Linked DNA regions of Tribolium castaneum. The protein of the gene in region 2 purifies or fractionates together with the protein of the main gene of each other region. This does not show direct contact. Links are inferred from orthologs where the notes say so. Each region holds a gene or a part of one and is shown on either strand. Other genes may lie near its edges. The genes, in order: Sf3b3, SMC1 and wapl.

Region 1 (7,751 bases), about 26 Mb from region 2:
CATTATTTTAAAATGAAACAAAAATATTATTGTTTTAAAAAATAACAAAAATAATAATATTTCTGTATACGATTCGGTGATTTTTTGAGTAATAATAATTGACTAGACTTGACCAAATAATCATATAGGTAAAAATGATAATGTCGTCCTTAATTTACTGATTTATCAGCTAGGTTTATTAAAATTTTGCAAAAACTGCATACTTATTTTAAATAGAGTTCCATTCTTGAACTAATTTTGAGATTTTAAAATTTTACTAAACAACGTTTCTGGCAACGCACTATCAAAATTTCGGTAAAAACTGAGTTAGACTTGTCTAAGCGCTTGAAAAAGACAAAAATGACGCCAACTTTATTTAATTCGACGAATTTTTTGGATAATTCCATATCAAAATGTGCGTGCCTTTGCAAATAAATAATATAACACAAAATAAGTACACACAGTTGTTGTAAAATCAAGCATTTAATTATTTTATAAAGTGATACTTTAATGTGGGGTTTTGGGAACTGCTTGTATTTTGATTTTTTTTTGACATTGTACATTGTTTATATTGAGTGTTTTTTTATTTATGGTTCTAAAAAAAAGTGGAAAGCTTTCCAAGTATAGTATAATATCATTAATTCGAAAAGTTGGCTCCACTTCAGTGCAACAATGGAGCCAGCTGCGTTCTAAAACTTTCCTTCTTGGATGTTTTTTCAAAACTCGAACTAGGACGCTTCAAAAGTTGGATATTTTATTAGGTAACATTTATTTCCTCTTCCTAGCTATCGATTGGTTTACAAAGTCTAAGGGAGAAAACAGCATGTTATTTGTCTCCTTATGCACATCATTCGAACCTCGAACGATCCCGATAACCCATTTCTTTAAAAAGATGATAAATGACGATTTTTATCAAAACAAAATGCAACACAATATACACCTTCATTATGTAACTATACATGGTGCTGCATTTTGGATGTCCGAATACGGGATCTTCGAAATTAAGAGGTTTAGAGAAAAACGATTAACACATTCTCGGGTCCGTTTTTTGAGAGAATAATTTTGGTCAAAACCGCATCTCGCTATCGTTTTTTGTTTTCGACTTATAAACAGAAATTGACATTTTAGCGAAATCTAGTTGGCTATGACATTCTCGAAAAGCTTATTTTTTTCTGATTTGATATGTTTATTTGTGTAATACATTAATTTTAAATATTAAAAAAAAACAAAACATTTTGCTTTTAACTATGAAATAATTATGAAACTATGAAAATTGTTTTACTTGTATTTATAATTTATAATATTTATATATATATATATATATATATATATATATATATATATATATATATATTTATAATTTAATGATTTTTTAAATCCTTAATTCCAAAACAGCATAATAAATTTTTATTAATTTAAATTTTTGCAATTAATAAAAATTATTTGTTTTTATATTTAAAATGGCAAGCTTACGTTGTTATTCTATTTTACAATTTTAAACATGAAATGTCGGAAAAAGAAAAAAATAATTGTATGATTGCGTATCAATAAAATTTTATTTTACAAAAAAAATGTCAATCCAAACACCAAATCAAATTTTATCTGCGGTAAAAAAATATACAACATTATCAACGTCACCTACACATTTTTTATGTAATTAAAATCTGCGATCATCGTATATTTGTTCAATTCAAAATAACTTCAACACAGCTTATTTTTATAATTTCACATTTTTTACTTTAATAACCGTTCACAAAATTTCTAGATTATTCACACCTTTTATGTGAAATAATTTTTTCATAGCCAACTACTTTCAAATGTTTTAATATATTTTTATCATAAATATACAGCGTGCTCAAAAACTGGCGCACCAACTCAATGGTGTGTGATAGAGAAGTGGTTACATATAATGGTAAAAATAGTAAAAAAATTCTTTGTATTAAAATTATTGATAAATAACTAATTTTAAGTAATTGATATGTGGCAACGTTGTCTAATAGTCATGATCGCAATAGAATTTGAGCAACAATAAAAATAAATTATATTTGAAACGGTTTCCTAGGAAATAATTCCCAGTGTTGGCACATCTACACATTGTGATTTTTTTGGATAAATTTTAATTTTTTTATATTAAAAAAACTGCTAAAATTTGATAGTAAATTTTAAAATAATTGTTAATCGTTTTGTTACGGAACGATTACCTGGTATGAAAAATAAAAATATAAAAAAATAATAAAAACTAAAGAAATTAACACAATAAGTTTGTAGCTCCAGATTTTTTAAAATATAACTTTAGGAATTTTTTCAACATTTTTCCCGTAATCTGCACTTGCTTCTCAATAACGTACCACTGAGTTGGTGCGCCAGTTTTTGAGCACCCTGTATAAAAACATCAAACTATATTTATATTGTTTTGAGTTCAGAAAAAAAAAGCTTTTCGAAAATGTCATAGCCAACTATAATTCTCATTTAAAAAAATAAAACTTTATGTCATTACAGCTAAGCGAATGAGTAAAAAAAATCGCTGCTAACATTATTAAATTCTCTGTAAAAAAGTGCCTGTATAATGTTTTTGTTTTAAATATGTATCTTTTATAATAAGGAAGATATGATATCTTTACAATAACTTAAAATTTCATCAAACAAACGCATAAGACTATTACTGTAAATTGCATTGAACTAAAACTCTGAAAATTGTCCGGAAAATATGGTACAAAACAATAAGCTTTTTACTAGAATTTGGATTCTTATTTGCCTCAAATTGAGATAAACACAATCAAGTTCTAAATACAGTACCTACAGTACGGTAAAAACAAAAGATACATACTGGCAATATCAAACGCATAAATTGTTAAAGTATAATTTTGGCCAAAGATAATTTTCTGAAAAATTTATTTAAATTGAAATTTCCTCTCAATTTTCTGATTGGTTTAGAAATTTTGCGCTTGCGTAGTAAAAAATATAGCCAACACGCACGCGCAGTAGCACTACATTTCTTCTTTCCGTTTCCTTTCTCACTTCACCGGTGTTTGTGCGTTATTTTGCCGGTCTGTCGCCATTTGCAGTTAGTTTTTGTACTTTTTTGCTAAATAATGTATCAAAACATTGCAAAAGGTGCTTTATTATTGTTTTTTAATTAACTTAACCATCGACAAAAACGCTCAAATAAATAACCAAGTCACCACGTCACAACAATGTGAACCATGCGAAAATCGAAAATAAATGGTTGAAAAACTTTGAAATATTGAACGAAACGAAGCTCATCCACGTTCAAGGTAACAAAATTTAGCTTTGATTTTGTTTTATAATTAATCACAAGTACGTATTTTTGCCCAAATTAACGAGTTGCTTTAAAAATTTGTAATCGGATGCACTTGGTATCTCCTGTACCTATGTATTGTATACGTACAGGTCGTAAAGGGTGCTATATTATGGGGCACATCGCATCGTTGGCTCAAGCGAATTACCAAGCTAAAGCCTGGTTTTAGTGCCCCACATTTTCAACTAAAAAATGATACGTTCTAACCTCACTTTTCTTCCTAGATAAGCCCCCAAAATGTATCTCTACAACCTGACCTTACAAAGGGCCACAGCCATCACCCACGCCATCCATGGCAATTTTTCCGGCACCAAAATGCAAGAAATTGTCATTTCACGTGGCAAAAGCTTGGAAGTGCTACGGCCTGACCCCAACACCGGTAAAGTCCACACGCTTCTAACCGTCGAAATATTCGGAGTCGTCCGCTCGTTGATGTCGTTTCGACTCACCGGAGGCACCAAAGACTTCGTCATCGTGGGCTCCGACTCCGGCAGAATCGTTATTCTTGAGTATATCCCGTCTAAAAACAACTTCGAGAAGGTCCACCAGGAGACGTTCGGCAAATCGGGGGTCAGACGTATTGTTCCAGGCCAGTACCTAGCCACTGACCCTCGAGGACGTGCTGTAATGATAGGCGCCGTCGAGAAACAAAAACTCGCTTACATTTTGAATAGGTACAAATTTTTTATTAAAGTATTTTTGTTCTGTAAAAATTAATGAATGCACAAAAAACGTGCGGTCTTTATTAGTTAGTTTTGCGGAAAACTATTTTAGAAAGTTATAATTACATCTGCATCTGAGTGACATTTTTGGAGTGCGATTTGTGCAAAATTGTAAGTTTCTGTAAAAGAAAAAAAGTTTGTGCTAAGAAAACCCACCAGAAACTCAATTTGCGTTACATTTTACTCCAAAAAATGCAAATACGTTTTTGCAAAATTCTACGACCTGAAATGGGATATACCTACTTAATTAAAAACAAAACGAAATAGATTACCACAATTAAAGAATACATTATCAAGCCCCAGTGAGTTTTGTGTCAAATTCGAAACTTTTGTATAGTTTTACTGTATTAAAGAATGAATTTTGTAAAAACAAATAGAAATTGCTGTTTAAATTTTAAATGTGACAGTGCGGGAAAGCTATTTTTAAAATTTTTGGCAATCAGTTCTGCATTTAGACGGCTCGGATAATCCGTACGATTCTATTAACCGAACTCCCAAATTAAGTAAAATAGTATACATAATCCGAATTACCATTCATTTATTTTGACTTTTAATTATTTTGTCGAAAAAAGTATTTGTTTAAAATACACTATCGGACAAAAGTAAGGCAACATGTTGAAAAATATACAAATATTGGTATTTTAAATTTTAAGAGTTGGTATTTACCTTCAATTTAATTTTATAATAAACGTTTAAAGATATTCTTATTCGTGTTGAACATGGATAGCCAATGGGTAATTATTATGACATGCTACTAGCTTGAAATATAAAAAAGCCCGATATTAATGCGACAAAAGTAAGGCAACATTGTCAGAAAATATTTTCAACTCAAATTTTATTTGATTCAACATTTACATAACACTACCCAACACTAAAGTTTAAATAAATAGAACGAAAAATTCAATAATTTATGACATAGCCGTTATTAAGTATAATTTTTTGGCACCGTCTGGGCATTGAAGAAATTAATTTTTGAATAACATTTTCATCCAGATTTGACCACACTTCTTTGATTTTATCTATCAAAGATTGCTTGTTGGGAAATTTTTGTATCCGGATTCGTCGCTCTACCTCTTCCCATAAGTTCTCAATTGGGTTGAGGTTTGGTGATTGGGCAGGCCATTGCAAAACATGAATATTATTATTTTGGAACCACTCACTGACCAATGCAGAAGTGTGTTTGGGGTCGTTATCTTGCTGAAAGATAAAACGAAGAGGCATTTCCCATTCTGCATACGGCAGCATTACATCTTGGAGTATGTCCTTATGGATGAACCGATCCATATTACCCCCAATAAAGCTCAACGGACCCACACAATTCCACGAAAAACACCCCCACAGAAAAACGCTACCATGACCATGTTTAACAGTGGGTGTAACATACTTGGGGTTGAATCGTGTATTGATTGGCCGTCTCACACGTTTCATTCCATCCGAATTAAATAATTTGTATCGAGTTTCGTCACTAAACAGAACTTTCCTCCAATCTTGCTTTGTCCAATTCAAATGTTCTCTTGCAAATTGAAGTCTGGCGCGTCTATTTCTTTCGGAAATCAAAGGTTTTTTAGCAGGACGTCTACTAAAAAGCTTTGCTGCAACCAGTCTTCTTTGAATTGTTCGTGTACTAACTCCTACTTCCGGTATTTCCGCTATAATTTTAGATGCAGATTTCCATGGATCGTTTTCCGAAATTCTTTTAATGCGTCTGTCCATGTTTATAGTGGTTTTTCGTGGTCGTCCCGATTTTGGATTATTGTTTAAATGTCCTCTTTCGTTGTAGCGAATAATTATTTTAGACACGCTGTATCTAGGCAGTTGAAATCTTCTTGCAATATCCGCTTGTTTTTCATTGTTTAAGAAAGCATCGATCACTCTTTCTTTCAACTCTTTACCAATTGGTGTACCCGTTGGCATGGCTCTTGTTGCGCAAGACGAACTGTTAATATTGGCCTAACAAATTTTTCATTATAACAACATTTTTTGAAAAAAATCTAAATGTTGCCTTACTTTTGTCGTCTTAAAATAATCCTTTTTTACACTACAAGTCAACAAAGCGGTTTTTTTCAACCTTAATAAATAATTACTTGACATTAATGACAGTAGCTTCCTTTGATTCTTTTAACAATATCATAGTTTGCCCGATCATAATTTATTTACATTAGATAGACATTAATTTCTATATTTTTCAAAATGTTGCCTTACTTTTGTCCGATAGTGTATGAATTTTAATTTTGTATTTTCTTATTTTTTATAGATACAGGTTTTGAGTATATTTTTTGCTGTCGGAATAGCTGTTTGCTTGGTTAATTGGTTATTAACCAATGGTTGGAGGTACCTGCAAACCGAACGCGTGTTCGGATTATTGATAATTATAATTTTTTATGAATTCTATAATCCGAACGTGGTCAGTAAACTTTTTCTTCGGATTATCCAAGTATTTACCTTTTAGGTTTTATCCATTTCCGTTAGCTACCCTTTAAATGTTTATTCATATCCTTATCAAACTCCAAAAGACATGTGTATTTGTTTTTAAGTTAGGGGTGATTTACTTTTGAAATTTAAAATCTCAGTAACCTTTTTTCTGAGCTCTATACTGGATAAATTTGAATAAAATACTGTGTTTTCGTTAAGTATCATTTAAATTTTTTATTGTGCAAAATATCATACACGTGATTTCTTTAAAACAAGCTATCTTGAAAATCTCAGAAAATAAACAAAAAATAGAAAACCTTTTAACATTTTAAATTGCATCACCTCCTTTATGATTATTCATTCAACTTACTTTCAAAATGACATAACGTATCTTCAAAAAGATATTTTTATTTAAAGTGATGATATTAATTTATACATTCATAAAGCACCAATGTGTTGGATGATTGAAAATTTAAATACATGTTCTCAAAATCGTTGTAAATAATCGATTAGTTTGGATGGAACAAGAAGGCGTCTAGTAAAAATTGAATCTAAAATAAATAAAAAAAATCTGAATACTTTCAAAACAACAAAATTATGTTAGAAGTGCTGGATCTATTAAAAAAAATAATTTAAATAAATTTAATTTAAAAAATAATAAAAAAATTTAAACACCGCATTTAATCTCAAAATTAGTTGTTAAAAATATTAATCATGTACTTCAAAAAATTACTAGTCAATGTAATTTATAGTTCCAATGACAGATTTCACAACTATTTTACAATTTTTTTAACGTTATTTATAAAAATAATGTGGTGAATTGCGATGGGGGCATTTTTATTGAATTGTAATGATAAGTAGAAAGATTGCGAATGATTCTTTCATGAAAACAGGTAATAGAGTGGACAAGCACAAATGTGCTAAGCAGTTTTATTATAAAAAATTAACAGTTATCAAAAAGGGAATAGCGTTATTGTGAAACTAAATTTGAAGTACGTGATTTTGTCACTGCTTACAAGCAAATTTAAAAGCTGTGGATATCTGCTCGCGAATAGATTTCTTTATAACATTATAATTATTTTATTTGACCGAATTTCGTTCCAAGTTAATTTTTTTACTAAACCCATAAATTAAAAGAAGCAGTGAAGCAAAAATTCTTCTATTTTAGAACGATATTAATTAGATTTATCATCAAAACTTATGCGAATGTTGGCAATATTGGTATCTACATTACATAGACCAAGATTAAGTAGAATAGCAGAACATGAGTTATTATAAAAGTCTTATACAAGAATTCATACGCCATGTACCGCTAATTC
Region 2 (7,511 bases):
ATACTGTAAAAAGAAAAAACTAAATCATAAATTTTTTAACAAGTGTTAGCAAGACATACAACTCCAGGATAGTTGCTTTTGAAGCGCTCAACAATCTCCTGTTTTTTCTTCCGTCTTGCATCTTCATGTTTGTCGGTTCTTGCATCTCCCAGTTGTTCTAACACATCGTCCAGTTGTTTCTGGATTTCATGGACGCGGTCTTTGGATGACCCAACGTCTGATTGTAGGTCAGAACGCAGTTGTTTCTGGTCTTGTAAAGCCTGTTCACTCAACCTTTAAACCACAAAAAAATACAAATTGAAACACGTAAGAAATAATAATTTTTTTGCATAGACTTAATCAACTCATGAATTAATTTTAATGAATCGTATACAGGTTGCTCAAAACTTCTTCAGTTTTCATTATTTTTATGTTTCGCACTAAGTAATAGTTTCCAAACAAAACGATGATTAAATTAAACGATTGTTTTAAATTCGGACTATCTATGAAAATCTGACATTTTATTTGGCAATACTGTGAGTTGTCATAAGAAATTTATTTTGGGTTATAATTGATGACAACCAAGGACTGTTGTCAGTTTGCTTCGTTTTTTTAAAAAATAATTGAATACGTTTTTATTGTTATTCTACTCCTTATCATTAGATAAAAAAGTCGGGTTTGTCTTTTTTGCATCCTTCAAAGCATCTTTTGATACACACTTTCTTATCAACAGATATTATTTTCGACATTTTAAATTAATAAGCAGTAGAACTGACAACACAGCGAATTTTTGACAAGACAACGTCATAAAGACAGTACCTGACAGGACCTGAGGCCAACCTAACAAAAATATATCTACGCCTGCTGAGAATTTAAAACAATCGTGAACGGATAATAGTTATTTTTTAATTTCCTATCAGACTTTGTCAGTTTTTTGAATTAAAGAAATGACATTCATAAAAAAAAACACAATTTGTAGATGTGTCAACACTGGAAATTATTTCCTAGGAAACCGTTTAAAATTATTTTTTTTATTGTTGACTGGTAGACAACGTTGCCACAAATCATTTATTTAAAATTCGTTATTAATCAATAATTTTAATACAAAGAATTTTTTTACTATGTTTACCTTTATATGCAAGCAATTATAATAATTCATACGAATTTTTTAAGCTTTTTAAGCTTTACTGAACTTTTAAGTTGACAGTTTTGACTCAACCTGTATAGAAAATACAAAAAAAAAAAAAATAAAGAAAAAATTAACTACCGAATATGCTCGGCCAGCTTTTCAATTCTTTTCTCCATTTCCTCCTTCTCGTGACACTTCTGCCGATGTTTATTTTCGGCATCAGTGCGCATTCTTGAAACATTGTCAAGTCTGTCCTGATCCGACTTCTGTTCCCTGTTGACAGAATCCAACTCCTGCATGTACCTGGCTGACCTCTTGGCTGCCTCTTCTTTCAGCCGATGATATTCTCTAACCTACACAGCGAAGTCCTAAACCAATCACCATTTCCGTAATTTCTCACCTGTTCGTCTTCAAGGTGCACATCTCTGCCTTGACTTTGCGACTCTCCGGCAATTTGACTCTCATATTCGTCTTTCGTCTTTTCAACTTCGGCCAATTCGTCTTCCAGTTTTTTAATATCGTTCATATGCGCTTCGTGGGCTTTTCTCGCCTGTTCTAATGTTTTTATCGCTCCGTCTAATTTTTTCTGCATGTGGGAGACACGTTCTTTAGCTTTGATGAACTGCGGCCGTTTTTTGGAAATCTCAACTTCCTGTGAAATAAATTAGGAAGGTGCAAGTAATAAATTATTCAAACTTACAACTTCGCGAATATCTTGCTCGATTTTTGCCAACTCGCGGTTAAATTTGCCTTGTTCTTTCTTTTTTTCTTTTAAAACCTCTTCGGCTTTTTCTTTCTTTTTTTCGATCTTTTCCACCTCGCGTTGTTTGTGTTTTAAATCGTTTTCCAGGTTTTTCATCTCGCGCTCGTTGTGGTATAAGCGGAAAAGTTGGTGCTCCACCAGTTTGTCATTCTGTGGTTGCAATAATTAAAAAAATAAAAAAAAAATAGTAAAACATACCAAATCATCTTTAAGTCGTGAATATTTATCAGCTTCTTCTTTCTCAAGTCTCGCTTCTTTACGTTCAGCATTTATGCCTTTCTTTTTCTGATAAGCAAAGTTGATTTCTTCTTGTGCCTTTTGCATTTGCTGTTTAAGGCGATCATATTCTTCTTTTAAAGCACCGGAACTAAATTTGGTTGGAATTAGCAACACAAAAAATTAATGCAAAATGATAAATACCCGCTAATTTCCTCAAAAAGTGCGGTCATTTCTTTGGGATTCTTCATTGCAACAGATTCTACCGCACCTTGGAAGACCAGAAAATTCTTCCCTTTTACATTGATGCGTAATTTTTCCAGTTCAGTTAAATATTCATTGTTTGAAACGACCTAAGTAAGAAAATCATTTTGGGATTATATAGTTTTGGTAAAAAAAAGGTTTCCCATTACGTAAAGTAGCAAAAAAGCAAGGCATAATTTTCAGTTTTCAAAATTTTATTACGTTTTTACTCTAAAATTATAATAGTAGTACAAGAAATATTTAGTTTACGAGTAGTCTTTTGACCATTCACATGTTGGAAATCGTTCAGTTTTTTATTAAAAAATCTCACATATTATTAGAAGAAAAAACTTATTAACTTAATAAAACATAATTTTATTTTAAAAAGATATAGTATCTGGAGTTTCTTCAATTTTTCAAAGAATGAGGTAAGTAACTTTTTTTACTACCTACGTTATACCATACTATTTTTATTTAAGAATAAAATTGAAGTTACACTGAACATTATGTAATTTTGGCCTTGGATTAAAACTATGTTTTTTCGATAAAAAATCATTTAACTGGTTCAAAAATTGTGAAAATTTCGAACGTTTTAGGTCAAAATCCATTACAAAATTAGAGCAATTTTTCCAGGTTTTTGGGCGTTTTTAAGCACGTTTAGGACATGGAATTAAGTTTTTCTGAAATCACAGTAAAAAATCACAAAATTTCATCCAGGAATGCAATTATTTTACAAAAGTTTTGTCACAAATAAACCAAAAATTTACCGAATTAGTGTGATAATACTGATAATGGAGCAGTAATTACAAAACCAAAGTGAAAAATCAATAAATTAAATCGAGAACTACAATATTTTATCGTTTTTGCGTTTTATCAACAAGTTCTTCATGTAGAAAGGCAATTATTTTGCAAAATTTAATCAAAAATGTGCCGAAAATTCGCTAAACTCGTTATTTTTACCGTTTAAGAACGTTTTTTTAGTCAGATACTTAATAATTTCGTAAAATTTAGACAAAAATTATCGACTTGGGTCGAAAATTGTGCTCAACACGTTAAAAATTATTTCCGAAATAGAGCAATTTTTGCGAAACTGGAGTAGAAAATCACTATAATTGGTCGCAAATTGCATTATTTTCGCGATTTTGTGTTTTATCAAATGTTTTTCATTTAGAAACGCAATTATTTTGAGAAATCTAGTAAAAAATGAGCCGAAAAATAACCAGAACTGGGTTGAAAATGATATATTTTTGCCGTTGATAAATGTTTTCAATCTATTGATGACTTAAATCTGAAACAATCGTATAATTGTTCAAATGAAAATAGCTTTAACATAACTTATATTTTTATAATTTCACATTTTTCACAAAACTTTTATATGAAATAATGTTATCAAATTTTCGAAATATTTTTTTTATAAAAGTATATAAAAATATCAAACTGTATTTACATTTTTTAGATCAGAAAACAATTGGCTTTACGAAACTGTGATAGCCAACTACACATAATTCCTAAAAAGCGTTGATAACATTAAATTCTCTGTAAAAAAGTGCCTGTACATAAATTAGACAAATGGCAAATCAAATTGTTTGGTGAATAAAATGTAATAAACTGCTGTAATGTATCTACAGACGAGTAGCATCAAAATATCTAGTAGAACAATAATCTCTGTGCTTGCCTAAGCAGTATTACAAAAACTCACGTAATACTGATCTGTGAAGCACTTGTCTCCAACTAGATGAAGATACTTACAGTTCCATTGATTCTGTATTCAGATGAAGAACCTTGAACCGAACGCTGGAAACAAATTTCTTTGCCACTTTCTTCATCAAGAACAAAAACAGCAGCAACTGAAGCACTGAAAAAGACAGTTACAGTGTCCCAAAACAAGTGAAAGCGGCAATACCTTCTGGATATTGGTTTGCTAATCGCAGCCCCATGGATAAGATCACTCAATCTCTTAACACGCAAACTTTGCGTCTTTTCGCCCATAACGAAGCTAATTGCGTCCATAAAATTGGATTTACCTTCAAATTTACACAACTTGGAGGATATTTGTATGGAAAATGTAACGGTGTTTTACCTGAGCCATTGGGGCCGATTACGGCATTGAAAGGCTTCAAGGGCCCAATTATTCGGTGCCCTTTGTACGACTTGAAGTTCTCCACTTCGATGTGTTTCAATCTCGGAGGCATTTTGTGGGTTTTTACAGATTTTGCATTATTTTTTAAACAGAAACACCGCACAACCACAAACAACAAGTATGGCGGCTGCGGCTAGCGTCACCGCCAACTTGTGGCAAGTTAACACACTAAAATCCCCAGATGAGGTGAGGACAAAAATCAAAAAATACACAAGTTGGGCAGAAAAACAACCATTTTTGAGATAAATATACGAAGAAACTTTAATTTATTAAAAAGCAACGTTGTTGTTGCCTTCCTTCAAGCCTTTTACACTAGTTGCAACAGTTACAACTATGGAACACCAACTTGACAAAAAAAAATTTGATAAAATAAATTTCTGGTAGTGTAGAGGGAAAATTTAATAATAAATCAGTAAATTACAAAATACAAAATTAAACTGCATTAGGATGATGATTTATTCGGTGTATCTTGCAACAAGAGACACTGCTTTTGGATTTTCCTAGAGATACTTCTGGATCTTCTACCACTTGATGGCATTTTGTCGTCTCTGTCCACTTGTGGGGTACACAAAACAGCACATTCATTCCGCATACTGGTGTACAAATCAAGCGCTCTTCTTGTAGGACTGTTGCATTCAATGTTCTTTGATAGATTTTTGTTCAGGGTTGATTTACGCAAATCCACACTTTTCGTAACTGCAGGTGAAACAACAAACTTTTTAACTGATGGTTTCGCTGCTATTCGATCCGATCTTCTGACGTTATTTTCCTTATCTTCGTCAAGCAGGCCACGGACCAGTTCCCTTATTTGATTTCTTCTAACTTGACGTTTCTGCACATACTGCTGGAACTCCTCATCATCTTCATTCAGTAAAGCGTTTATTTTATCAACTATTGAGCTGGTTTTTTGCACTGAATTTGTTATCTTTGTACTTTCTAGTAAGGCACACACTGAAGCCATGGGTGATGCAACACGATTGTTGTTTTTAGGGGGCTTTTTGGCCGAAGCACATGCTTGTTCTAACAGTAAAAACTCCCTGTCTTCGGAATTTGCAGACCCGTCACTGATGGGTGACAGAAGGTTTGATAAGGTTTGTAAAGGCGTTGCAGGTCGTGCTTTGGTGGCAGATAAATAACTTTCATCGGCATTAATTAAAACTGAATCATCACTAGTCGCATTTTGTACACTGACCTGAAAAAAACATTACTAGCATGTGTTGTAAAATAGTAAAATTAAAAAGGTTTCATAAGACCAGTTTCAAAGCCTCATGAAACGAGTTTTTATAATTTGCCCTTTTGGTCGTTAATATTGTACCTTTGGCGCACGTTGCACCGTTTTTTTCTTAGTAATAAGGGACTGACGACTGTTATAAGAACCCTTCTTTTGTGGTTTTTCGTTGGGTGCTTTAAACAGTTGCTTGCAGACGGGTCTTTCCACTTTACGTTTTTTCGGAGATTTCTCAAAATCAGCGGCACAAAATGGCATTCGCTCAATTGGTATAAATTTCCTCTTCACCGTGCTTCTTTTTTCGGGGCTCTTTCTTGTTAACGAACTTGGAGCGTTCGATATTTGAGGTAATTGTAAGGGTAATGTGACAATTTTCCCGTTTTCATCTTTTGCTACAATTTACCAAGTATTTAAACGATACTAGCGAGTCTCATGAGCTTACCGAAACCATCGCAAATTTTTGTTAGCCGGTGATCCATTTTTAAAATTTTTAAACGCACGAAATAACGGTCACTTTTCCGCTGTCAACCATAGAATAACAGAACCACCAACCCAACAAACCCATTTATTTTTATATAAATTTATTGCCCAAGTGCACATGTTAGTTAACAATTAGTTAACGGTACAAATATACTAACCATAAACCAATATTTCCCAATAGATAATAATTTAGTAAACTAATCGTGTCATTAGTTAAGCAATAAATTTAATTTCTAGTGTCAAAACCAAAGTTTCTAAGACTGACATTTTAAAAATTAACCTCAAAGTGACACTCGTGTTTTCTTCTTGTAAAAGCCAAAAGAAATAATTTTTTCCGCACTGCCAGTGTTTTTTAGGAAATGGCAAAGAGCATTCGAAGCAAATGGAGGCGAAAGTGCCGTGCGATCAAGCGGGAACGTTATGGCAAAAAAGAACTGGAGCGTTTGAAAAAAACTTTGGGGATCAACGACAGTCAGTCTGATAACAAGGATGTAAATATGACAGAAATTTCGGACGTAGTGAACGTCGTCGAACCCAAATCTGTTAAAAAAAGTGCGGAAAATGAGGAACAAATGGAGACCGACTCAAAAAAGCGTGTCTTTAATCCTAGGACTTTGAGGGATCAACATGGCGCATACCCCGTATGGCTGCACCCGAGGAAAACTGCCAGGAGTAAATCCAAGAAGGGGAAGAGAGGGAAGAAGGGCAAACATTGATTGTTTCAAATGTTACAGTTTATTATTAAAAATAAAAATGCTTTTTTGAGTCTTTATTTGTGTTTTTACATATAAATATAAGTTCAAATTTTTACACTGACGACGACATACATTTACACCCTGGGGGATGTTCTTGTGGTTTTTCACAATCACAGCTTGCTTCGTCGGCTGGAGAAGGGGGTTTGGTGTTACTATGAATTGTGTTTTCTACAAGATCGATGCAACTTTTTGGTGGCGTTTTATCTTGATTACAGCTTTCCTAAAATTAATTTTTGCTGTTGCACATCAGGGGAATTTAAGAAAAATTTATCGTGTACCAATCGCCGCAACTTGCACGCTATACTACCAATATCACTAGACATCCTATCAATGTTTCCATAAATACTTTTAAGATCCTGCTTCGTAACTTCGTTTTTGCTCTTTTCTTTCACCATCTGAAATCGGCATCAAGTTAATTACTTTTCATTTCGGCCTAATTTGATACCTTTTCGAGCATCTGCAGCCGTTTATCCATCTTATCCAATTTTTGCTGTGTATCCAAATCTTTGGCCTCGAGCGCTGTGTCGTCGTCGTCTGAAACGAGACGTACAGTTAAACTCGTGGATTCGCATTTCCAT
Region 3 (7,704 bases), on a different chromosome or scaffold from region 2:
TTTATTTCGCAGAGGCCAAGAGAAATAAATTATTATTCTGACTCATGTTTAAATAACATACAATCATTATTGATTAGATGGGACTCTTTAGGACAGGTAGGTACAAGGTAATCCAATTTTTTATAAGAAGGTATTTTTAATTTTTTTCTACGGTGTCTGTTCATCGCCCCGTGAAGTATTGTCTGTGCAGGTTTGAAAGAAACTCAATGAATAAAACTTTAAAAAGTATCAGTATTTATTATGTACATTATATTTAAACAATCCAAATAACATTATGGTAATTTTACAAGTAATCTAGTCATGAAATAAATAAGAAAATTCATATACAGTAGTAAGTATATACACTTGAACAAAACTATAAATTCGCCACGATAAAAATATAAAACGACATACTGAACCTTACGTTAAATTTCATAGGCTTAACACTAAATAATACTAACAACAGAATAAGGTAATAAAATAAAGAATGAAATGTTTCAGTTCAGTAATCTAGGTCAACTATCAATATGACTATTTTTTTGTATTTTTTCTACTTTTGTGATTTCAGTAAACTGTAAGTACTAGAGAAATGATGGTGCATTTTCATAGTCAATCACCACTTTGAAACGTTCTTACGATTTACCAAAACTGATTCTTTACAATATTTAAATGCTAGTGTGCCATTGTGTAACTAAGATCCATACACTCCGTATAACTCGGCTTCTCTTCAGGCGGAGGACTGTCACACTCTTCCAGAAACTTGATGACTTTTTCGGTGGCTTTAATTGCGCAAACGCTTGACGCTTCCGTCTGTAAAAAAAAACAATCATAAAACCAACATTTAGCAACAAAACAACACGTACCGAAGCAGTTAAATTCATAAAATTGAAGAACTTCTTCAACAGTTCGACCATATCGGCAAAATTGTTCCCACGGAGGAACTGTCGCACGTTATTTTGGTACTCCTTGTTGTCCATTATCAGGAATCCAATCAACATAACGATGTACGAAGCCAGGAAGGTGTACTCCATATGTGTGCCGGCTTTTTGTAGCACTAGAACCACACAGTTATAAAATCGCAACAAATTATTATAACTCACATTTAGCGACAGTTTCCTCGATAAATTCCTCATTTGACTTGTACGCAACGTTACCACTGTTCTCATCTTTTTCACCGTCCAATATCGCGTTGGTCCGTTTTTCAGCGATTTTCGCACACCCTTCCCAGTGATAAAATTGCGCGATCAAAGCCTCAACGGCACTTTCTTCTCCTACAAATTCACAGTCAGCAAACACCACCGAAGTGATTTTTGACTCACTTGAATAAATACTTTCCAGCTTTGACGGGGCTTTGGCTTCAATCAACAGCTTCTTGTTGTTGTCGTTATCTTGAATAAGGTTAATCAACAACATGAGGACCTGGAATAGTTGGTTATTTGAAGTTTGGGACACAATAAATTATTACCAAAACTCCCAATTCGAATTTCTTTTGTTCGGGGATATAGTGCGGCACTTGGAGAAGCAGATGCAGGCTTGTTTCAATAATGCCGTTCCTCGAACCTATTAAGGTACTTCCCATGGCTGTAAAAACAGTGTTAATTGGGTGAAATTTTAACTGTCAGAACCTACATTGTTTACTAAAGTGGTGTGTTAAATTAATTAATACTTTCAGAGTTACGAGAAGAGCTTCCCTTATTATAGTCCCAGTCGACTCCTTATCGGTTATATCAGTCACTGGATACAGAGGTATTTCACCATCACATAGTTTATACAAATTAACGAGCGTATCTAAAATTACTCCATCATTATATTTTAACAGGTACGTTTGATTCTCTTCATTATTATGAGTGACCTACAAGTGAAAAGTTATTTTGCGCCGATTCACATAAAAATCGTACATTTTCCAGCACACGTAAACACCTATCAACTTTCCGAAGTTTATCTAACAAGGCATCAGTCCACGAAACCACATAATCAGACACCTGTCTACAGCACTCGCATATCGTCTTCATAATATGCTCCAAGCCGCCCAACTCCCGCAGCTCCTCCTTGAACCACTCGCCTGCCCTTTTCGACGTGAGACTCAAAAGCGTCTCCATTGCCAATTGACCCACAGTTATATTATCGAGATTCAGATGCATGGCATGCCCTTGACTTTGTATCTCGGCACACAGCTCCCTAACTTTCTGTTTATTTTTCTCCAACTGGGCCGAGCTCAAGCCGCAGACGTCGAGCGCTTGCTGGTAGCTTACGTCCGATTCGAGAAGGTTTAACATGAGTTCGAGGCAATCGCGGTCTAGGTCCATGTTGAGCCGGTCCTGGCTCAGGACGAACATGACAGTCGCTGTACATAGACCAAGACTCTAAAACACGATTTGAGTAATTTGGAAATTTCAATTGGTGAAATAATACTTGGTCTTTGGTGGCGTCATGTAGTGCCTTGAAAAATTTAGCTACGGTTCCGTGAGCACGCACGTGCATCCGGAACGCAGGCACCATACATTTAGAAGCTAGAGTAATGGCCGATAAACAGCGAGTACTGATTGGATTATTATCCTGCAAGGCATCAAGGATGTACTCCACGTCGTCGTTGAATTCTTGAAATTCGCCGATTTCCTGGATCTGGTGGGCTTTCTTCACGTTGCGGACGACTGTGTAAAACTGAGAAAACATACAAATTAATCAGATAAACCAAACAGTAACAGTCCACAAAGCGAAATAACAAGAACGTTTATTTTTTTAGCAAATAACTTTTTATTGACAAATGCGTAATACCATCCAAATGAAGCTTTTTTAATGTTTTCTTTACAAAAAATGCGTCTCTCACTTTTGTTTATATTAACTAAAACCTGTTCTTATTTAATTACACTGGTTTACAAAATATTTCAAGTATATATGATTCGGTTGTAAAAAGAATTATTAATTACTTATGGTACTATGTAATATTCAATATTTAAATTAAAAAATTAGCAGAACGTCTGTACTCCAAGTATAGATAACTGTGAATTGTTTATCTTCTTCTTATTTTTTTTGATGCTTCAATTTATTTGATTCAATTACTTATTATTTTATTCAAAAAAATTCAGGAATACACAATTAATTCATGCTGTATTATGTTAATAACTAGTTTAAAAGTACAGTTTATGATTATATTACAGAAAAAAACTTTTAAAAAATTCATCAGTTCATCACCAAATTGAGGCCATTTAAATTATATTAAATTATGTAGTGTTCTATGGGCATAATAAAAAAAATAAATATATTTTATTTGTTAAATTTCGTATAAATATTATTTTAATTTTAATATAATGTTCAAAAATAATTTTTTGTAAACATGAGTTACTTTTTAATGCTTGTATTTTTTTGTCTTCATACAACTCACCCCTTTGTCACTCTTGGTGCACTTGATACTGGTCACACTCTCGTCCTCGCCGTCGCTGTTGCCCCCAACCGTGACCCTCGTCAAAGGATCATCATTAAAACTGAACTCGTCATACACTGAACCACCCGTATTATTGCTACTAGGATTTTCGTTCGATTTTTGCGTGGCGTCTTTATCATCACTCCACTTGTGTCTGTACAACGCGCGCCGTTTTTTCGTCACGTCCGTAACTAAAGGTCTACTTTTAAAAATACTTCCTTTCTTCTTTGAGATAACTAATTTAACGGGAGGGCTAGTTTCGGGGGCGCCTTCTTCCGCACTTTTCTCCTTCTGCTCTTCCACCGGCAGTGGGAGCGGTTCCGAATCCTCGGTTAGCTGCGTTTTGATTTCTGAGTCTGGGGTGGTGCTGTTGCTGTCCTCGTCGGTGTCCCATTCCTCTTCTATTGAACCCTTGGTCACTGGTTCTTCCCCCGATTTGGTTTCTTCAACCGGTTGGCTTTTTTCTTCGATGGTTTCACTCGGTTTAGTTTCGATTTGTTCGGTTTTGTCGGTTTCTTCCGGCTCTTTTTCGGCACTAATTTCGCTATCTACGTAATCAATTCCTGAATCTTCGGTGCTGTTCTTCTCTTCGGGGAACAGCTGCGAAGGCGAGTTTGGTTTAAGCAAGTTATCGTACATGGCTTTCCGCTCCATTTCGTATCTTTCAGCTGGGATGTATTGCGGGGACAGGTCTATGTCCTGTTTGGGCGAAGTGAAGAGGGAGAATTCGGTCGGAGTGTCGGCCGTTGCCGGACTGCTGCTGGGGTCCTGTTGCATGCTTCTTCTCGCTGACCTGGTGATGCGACAATTTGGTGATCTTTGTGCTGTGTCCCTGAGAGCCCTTGGAGAGGTGGCGTTTGAAGTCGATGGGGTGCTGGATGGTGTGGGCGTGCTTTCAGATTCGTCCGAATCGTTCACTAACTGGGATTTTCCTTTACATATCCTTAAAACTATTGGAGGTTTTGTTTCGTTTCGTTTAGAATTATTTACATTTGAACTTAGTACAGTCTTTTCAGGCGAGTTGCTCTTTGACGAAAAAAATTTACGACCAACACTTTTGGATTTCTCCGTCGGTTCGTTTACTAATTTCAGCTTCTTTGTTACGTTGCCGTATGTCATGTCGGCCTTGTAGGACGAAGACAGGTCAGGGGGTTCCGTGTTGCGACTCTTGAAGAACTTCTTCGGCTTCGGCACGGACTCTCCTTCAGATGAGGCGTTTTTTTCGTTTTCTGAACGAGACAAACCTGGATTATAACAACTACAGTGAATGGGGGCTTTGAGAGCTTAAACTACTGGCTCTTAAAAAAACCTAACTAAATCAACTCAATTCCATAAGTATTAATGACCACAAAAACAGAACTGTTGCGAAATTATAGTTGTATGTCGAAAATTGTCGAGGGGCAACTTACCATTGCTGGTACGTATGGAAGTGAAGGAGGTGATGCCCCACTTGCCCACAGTGGCTGCAGACCTTGCGGCAGATGGTTTGTTAGCATTTTCCTTAAATAAATTGTCGAAATGGAAACTTGCATGTGAACTTCCTCCACGGCGATACTTCCCATACCCTCTTGACATTTTTAAAAGTTGAACTCAAAAGTACCCCTCACTCAAACATTTCGGATTAAAACTTGAGCCCTGGCAAAATTCCTGGCAATACAAACGCGTCCCCAACGTCCTATCTAGTAATACTATCGAGTTCCATGATGTTATTTTGGCGATTTATCTGTACATTTTGGTGTATTTTGTTAAAATTGGTTCAACTTCGCCATTTTCATCAAATGATGAAGGTCCATTGATATTTATTAAGTGGGCTTGCAGGCATTGGTAAGGTGTCACAGATACCACATTATTTGTATGAGGGTTTCCACTTTTGGGAAAATGCGGGAAATAATTAGGTTTTTCTTGTCAATAGAATTTTCACGTTATAAACACGCCAGTAAATAACGGCTACGAAATCTACGTAAGGTTGCACAGTTGGCTGTTGCAACGACGCTCATCTGTCAAATTTATACAACCGCTTGCAACTGTCAAAAATTTTCGTCCAACTTTTCAAAAATAACCCAAAAAGATGTGTCCTATCGATAAGTTGATAATTGGTGTGTTAATTGTTAGTTTTTCGTCGATTTCTCATTGTCACAATAAATATTCGGCCGAAGCGAATGTGAAAAAATCGAACGATGATGTGGATTTTCGGCCGGTGTCGCTGAAGCACCTGGATAAGCCTTTCAGGATGGCTAAATTAAATCTCTTATGGTCCAAGGCTGTGGTGGTACGTATTTACAACCAGTAGCTGCTTTAATTAAATTAATATTTAGAGGCTCTCTGAACCTAAACTAAAATCCCTGTTTGGCGAATTGAAATTGCACGATAAAGAGGAAATCACTTGGAAGCATTTGAAAGCAGAGGGGAAGGACAAAGACGGGTTAAAAGAGGCCGAGTTGAGGAAGAAATTGCTGACAATAATGGGGTCCTATAATTTACTGGACCAAGCCGATGACGTGCAAGACCCGTCTAAATATAGAGCTCATAAACCTCTGAATGAGGCCTCCGACAAATACATAAACAAGAGTTTATTTAAAGATAAAAAGTTGAACAAACTGTGGGAAAAAGCCGAGACTGCTGGTTTTACGGCCGAGGAGTTGGCGGCTTTAAAAGAGGAATTTACCCACCACCAGGATAAAGTTGACCAATATTACGCTTTGTTGCATGATGTCAAAGGCAAGGAACAAGACGATAACACTGCCAGTATGTTCCTTCAATCGTTGTGCCACAAATTAATTTTTTAATTCTAGATTCGGTAGATGATGGTTTAGACAAATTCAACACCATTGAAAGTCTGGAAGAGCCACAGGCAAACAAGGATTATCTGGACAAAGTGAACCTCCTCAGGGAGCAGCACAAGGATATCCGGGACGGCTACGACCGCTTGCATTTGCTGGCGGCAAAGGGGCCCAACAGTAAAGAATTTGTGGAACCCAAAGTTCAAGGTTTATGGAAAATCGCAATTGAAAGTAACTTTAAACCTGACGAGTTGGAGTCGTTACGAGTGGAGCTCCTGCACTATGAAAATAGGTTACTTAAATTGAGGCATCTTCAGGCTGAAGCTGCCTTGAAAGAAGATCTGCACAAGAAAAAAATGGAAATGGCAGGGGGTAAAACAAACGGAATGCAGATGATGGAAGACACGATTAAAAAGCATGCAAGGAAGGTCGAGAAAATTCACTTGGATCTGGAAACTAGGATAATGCAGAGGCATATTGAATTGTGATTATCTAATTAGTGTTGTAAATAACAAAAATGCATTTGAATTGTTTATTTTGTAGTATTTTTTAACGAATATAATACGTATCACAAATAATTGGAAATGATTATTTTCCCTCAGTCTAACTTTCATACTCTTGTTGGAAATTTTGAATTATTTGTAGTGTCGTGGTTTTGATGTTTTGGGCAACAATTTTGCCGATTTCGGTTTGCTGATCTTCGCTGCAACTTGACATAATATTTGCGTACATATTATTCATCGCATCCTTGAGTGACGCAATAAATTTCGCATTTTTTTCCTCACAAATTTCTGGTCTTGCTTCCTTATTCTCATAACCTTGCAATTTTGTGTTCAAATCAGAAATGGTATTTTCGAGGCGTGAAATTTCAACTTTCTGAGCTAATTCTGACTGCTTGCAAGCCTCAATTTCTTCTATTTGTTTCTCCACGGTTTTAGAAAGGGCAGCGATTTCGTCCTTGTGTGCACAAATTTCTTTTTCCAATTTCTCTCGTTTGACGGTTTCTTGTTCCTCCAAAAGCCTCAATTCCAGTTTATTCTCTTCCTCACTCTTCAAATTACTTTCGTGTTCCTTCAATTGTAATTTGAGTTTTGCGTTTTCTTCCTGACTTGATCCCAATTCCCTCAACAAGTTTTCATTACGCAACTCCAACACTTTGAGTCTACTTTTCAAGCTATTTGAGTTGTCACTGGGCTTATCTGAGTCAACCAAACTAATAATCTGATTTAATTTGTCCGAAATTTGCGATAAATTTAACCTGACTTCACTATTTTGTGCACGGTTTTCAGCAAACAACAAATTTAAAGGGTCGTAAACCATCGGTTGACTCATAACAAAATTATTTGGAACGTTTTGAATTTGATGTGAAGTCTTGATAACAGCTGATGTTGAGCTGACTTGGTGGGTGGATACTGTACTGTCTGCACTTTCAACAGAATCATTATCTGTATCTAAGTCTTTATTCGGTAAAATAGACTGCCCCATTTTGGCAATTCTTGACAATATATCAGCCTTAGCTTTATT

What was found.
Region 1: the proteins of SMC1 (region 2) and Sf3b3 fractionate together in Homo sapiens (co-fractionation; 3 studies listed by BioGRID, with this or other methods). This does not show direct contact. The link is inferred for Tribolium castaneum from reciprocal best matches to the Homo sapiens genes SMC1A and SF3B3.
Region 3: the proteins of SMC1 (region 2) and wapl purify together in Homo sapiens (affinity purification with mass spectrometry; 7 studies listed by BioGRID and IntAct, with this or other methods). This does not show direct contact. The link is inferred for Tribolium castaneum from reciprocal best matches to the Homo sapiens genes SMC1A and WAPL.

What each region holds. Positions count from the first base shown.
Region 1 is NC_087394.1:10,468,391-10,476,141, reverse strand, and holds the start of Sf3b3 (splicing factor 3B subunit 3), read left to right. Parts: upstream 1-2,970; 5' UTR 2,971-3,254; intron 3,255-3,522; 5' UTR 3,523-3,535; coding exon 3,536-3,972; intron 3,973-7,751. UniProt on the Homo sapiens protein: Component of the 17S U2 SnRNP complex of the spliceosome, a large ribonucleoprotein complex that removes introns from transcribed pre-mRNAs.
Region 2 is NC_087394.1:36,158,376-36,165,886, reverse strand, and holds the start of SMC1 (structural maintenance of chromosomes protein 1A), read right to left. Parts: upstream 4,637-7,511; 5' UTR 4,523-4,636; coding exon 4,411-4,522; intron 4,355-4,410; coding exon 4,234-4,354; intron 4,186-4,233; coding exon 4,080-4,185; intron 2,441-4,079; coding exon 2,292-2,440; intron 2,239-2,291; coding exon 2,070-2,238; intron 2,022-2,069; coding exon 1,809-2,021; intron 1,761-1,808; coding exon 1,509-1,760; intron 1,462-1,508; coding exon 1,247-1,461; intron 274-1,246; coding exon 60-273; intron 4-59; coding exon 1-3. Other genes in the region: uncharacterized protein LOC103314045, read right to left, coding at 4,913-5,662, 5,786-6,090, 6,141-6,177; protein LLP homolog, read left to right, coding at 6,538-6,894; slow (delta-like protein B), read right to left, coding at 6,986-7,153, 7,212-7,328, 7,379-7,467. UniProt on the Homo sapiens protein: Involved in chromosome cohesion during cell cycle and in DNA repair. Central component of cohesin complex. The cohesin complex is required for the cohesion of sister chromatids after DNA replication.
Region 3 is NC_087397.1:5,066,998-5,074,701, reverse strand, and holds wapl (protein wings apart-like), read right to left. Parts: upstream 4,976-7,704; coding exon 4,810-4,975; intron 4,645-4,809; coding exon 3,362-4,644; intron 2,641-3,361; coding exon 2,392-2,640; intron 2,343-2,391; coding exon 1,878-2,342; intron 1,832-1,877; coding exon 1,609-1,831; intron 1,561-1,608; coding exon 1,445-1,560; intron 1,399-1,444; coding exon 1,080-1,398; intron 1,034-1,079; coding exon 843-1,033; intron 790-842; coding exon 652-789; 3' UTR 212-651; downstream 1-211. Other genes in the region: alpha-2-macroglobulin receptor-associated protein, read left to right, coding at 5,469-5,669, 5,716-6,145, 6,193-6,668; uncharacterized protein LOC103315102, read right to left, coding at 6,784-7,704. UniProt on the Homo sapiens protein: Regulator of sister chromatid cohesion in mitosis which negatively regulates cohesin association with chromatin. Involved in both sister chromatid cohesion during interphase and sister-chromatid resolution during early stages of mitosis.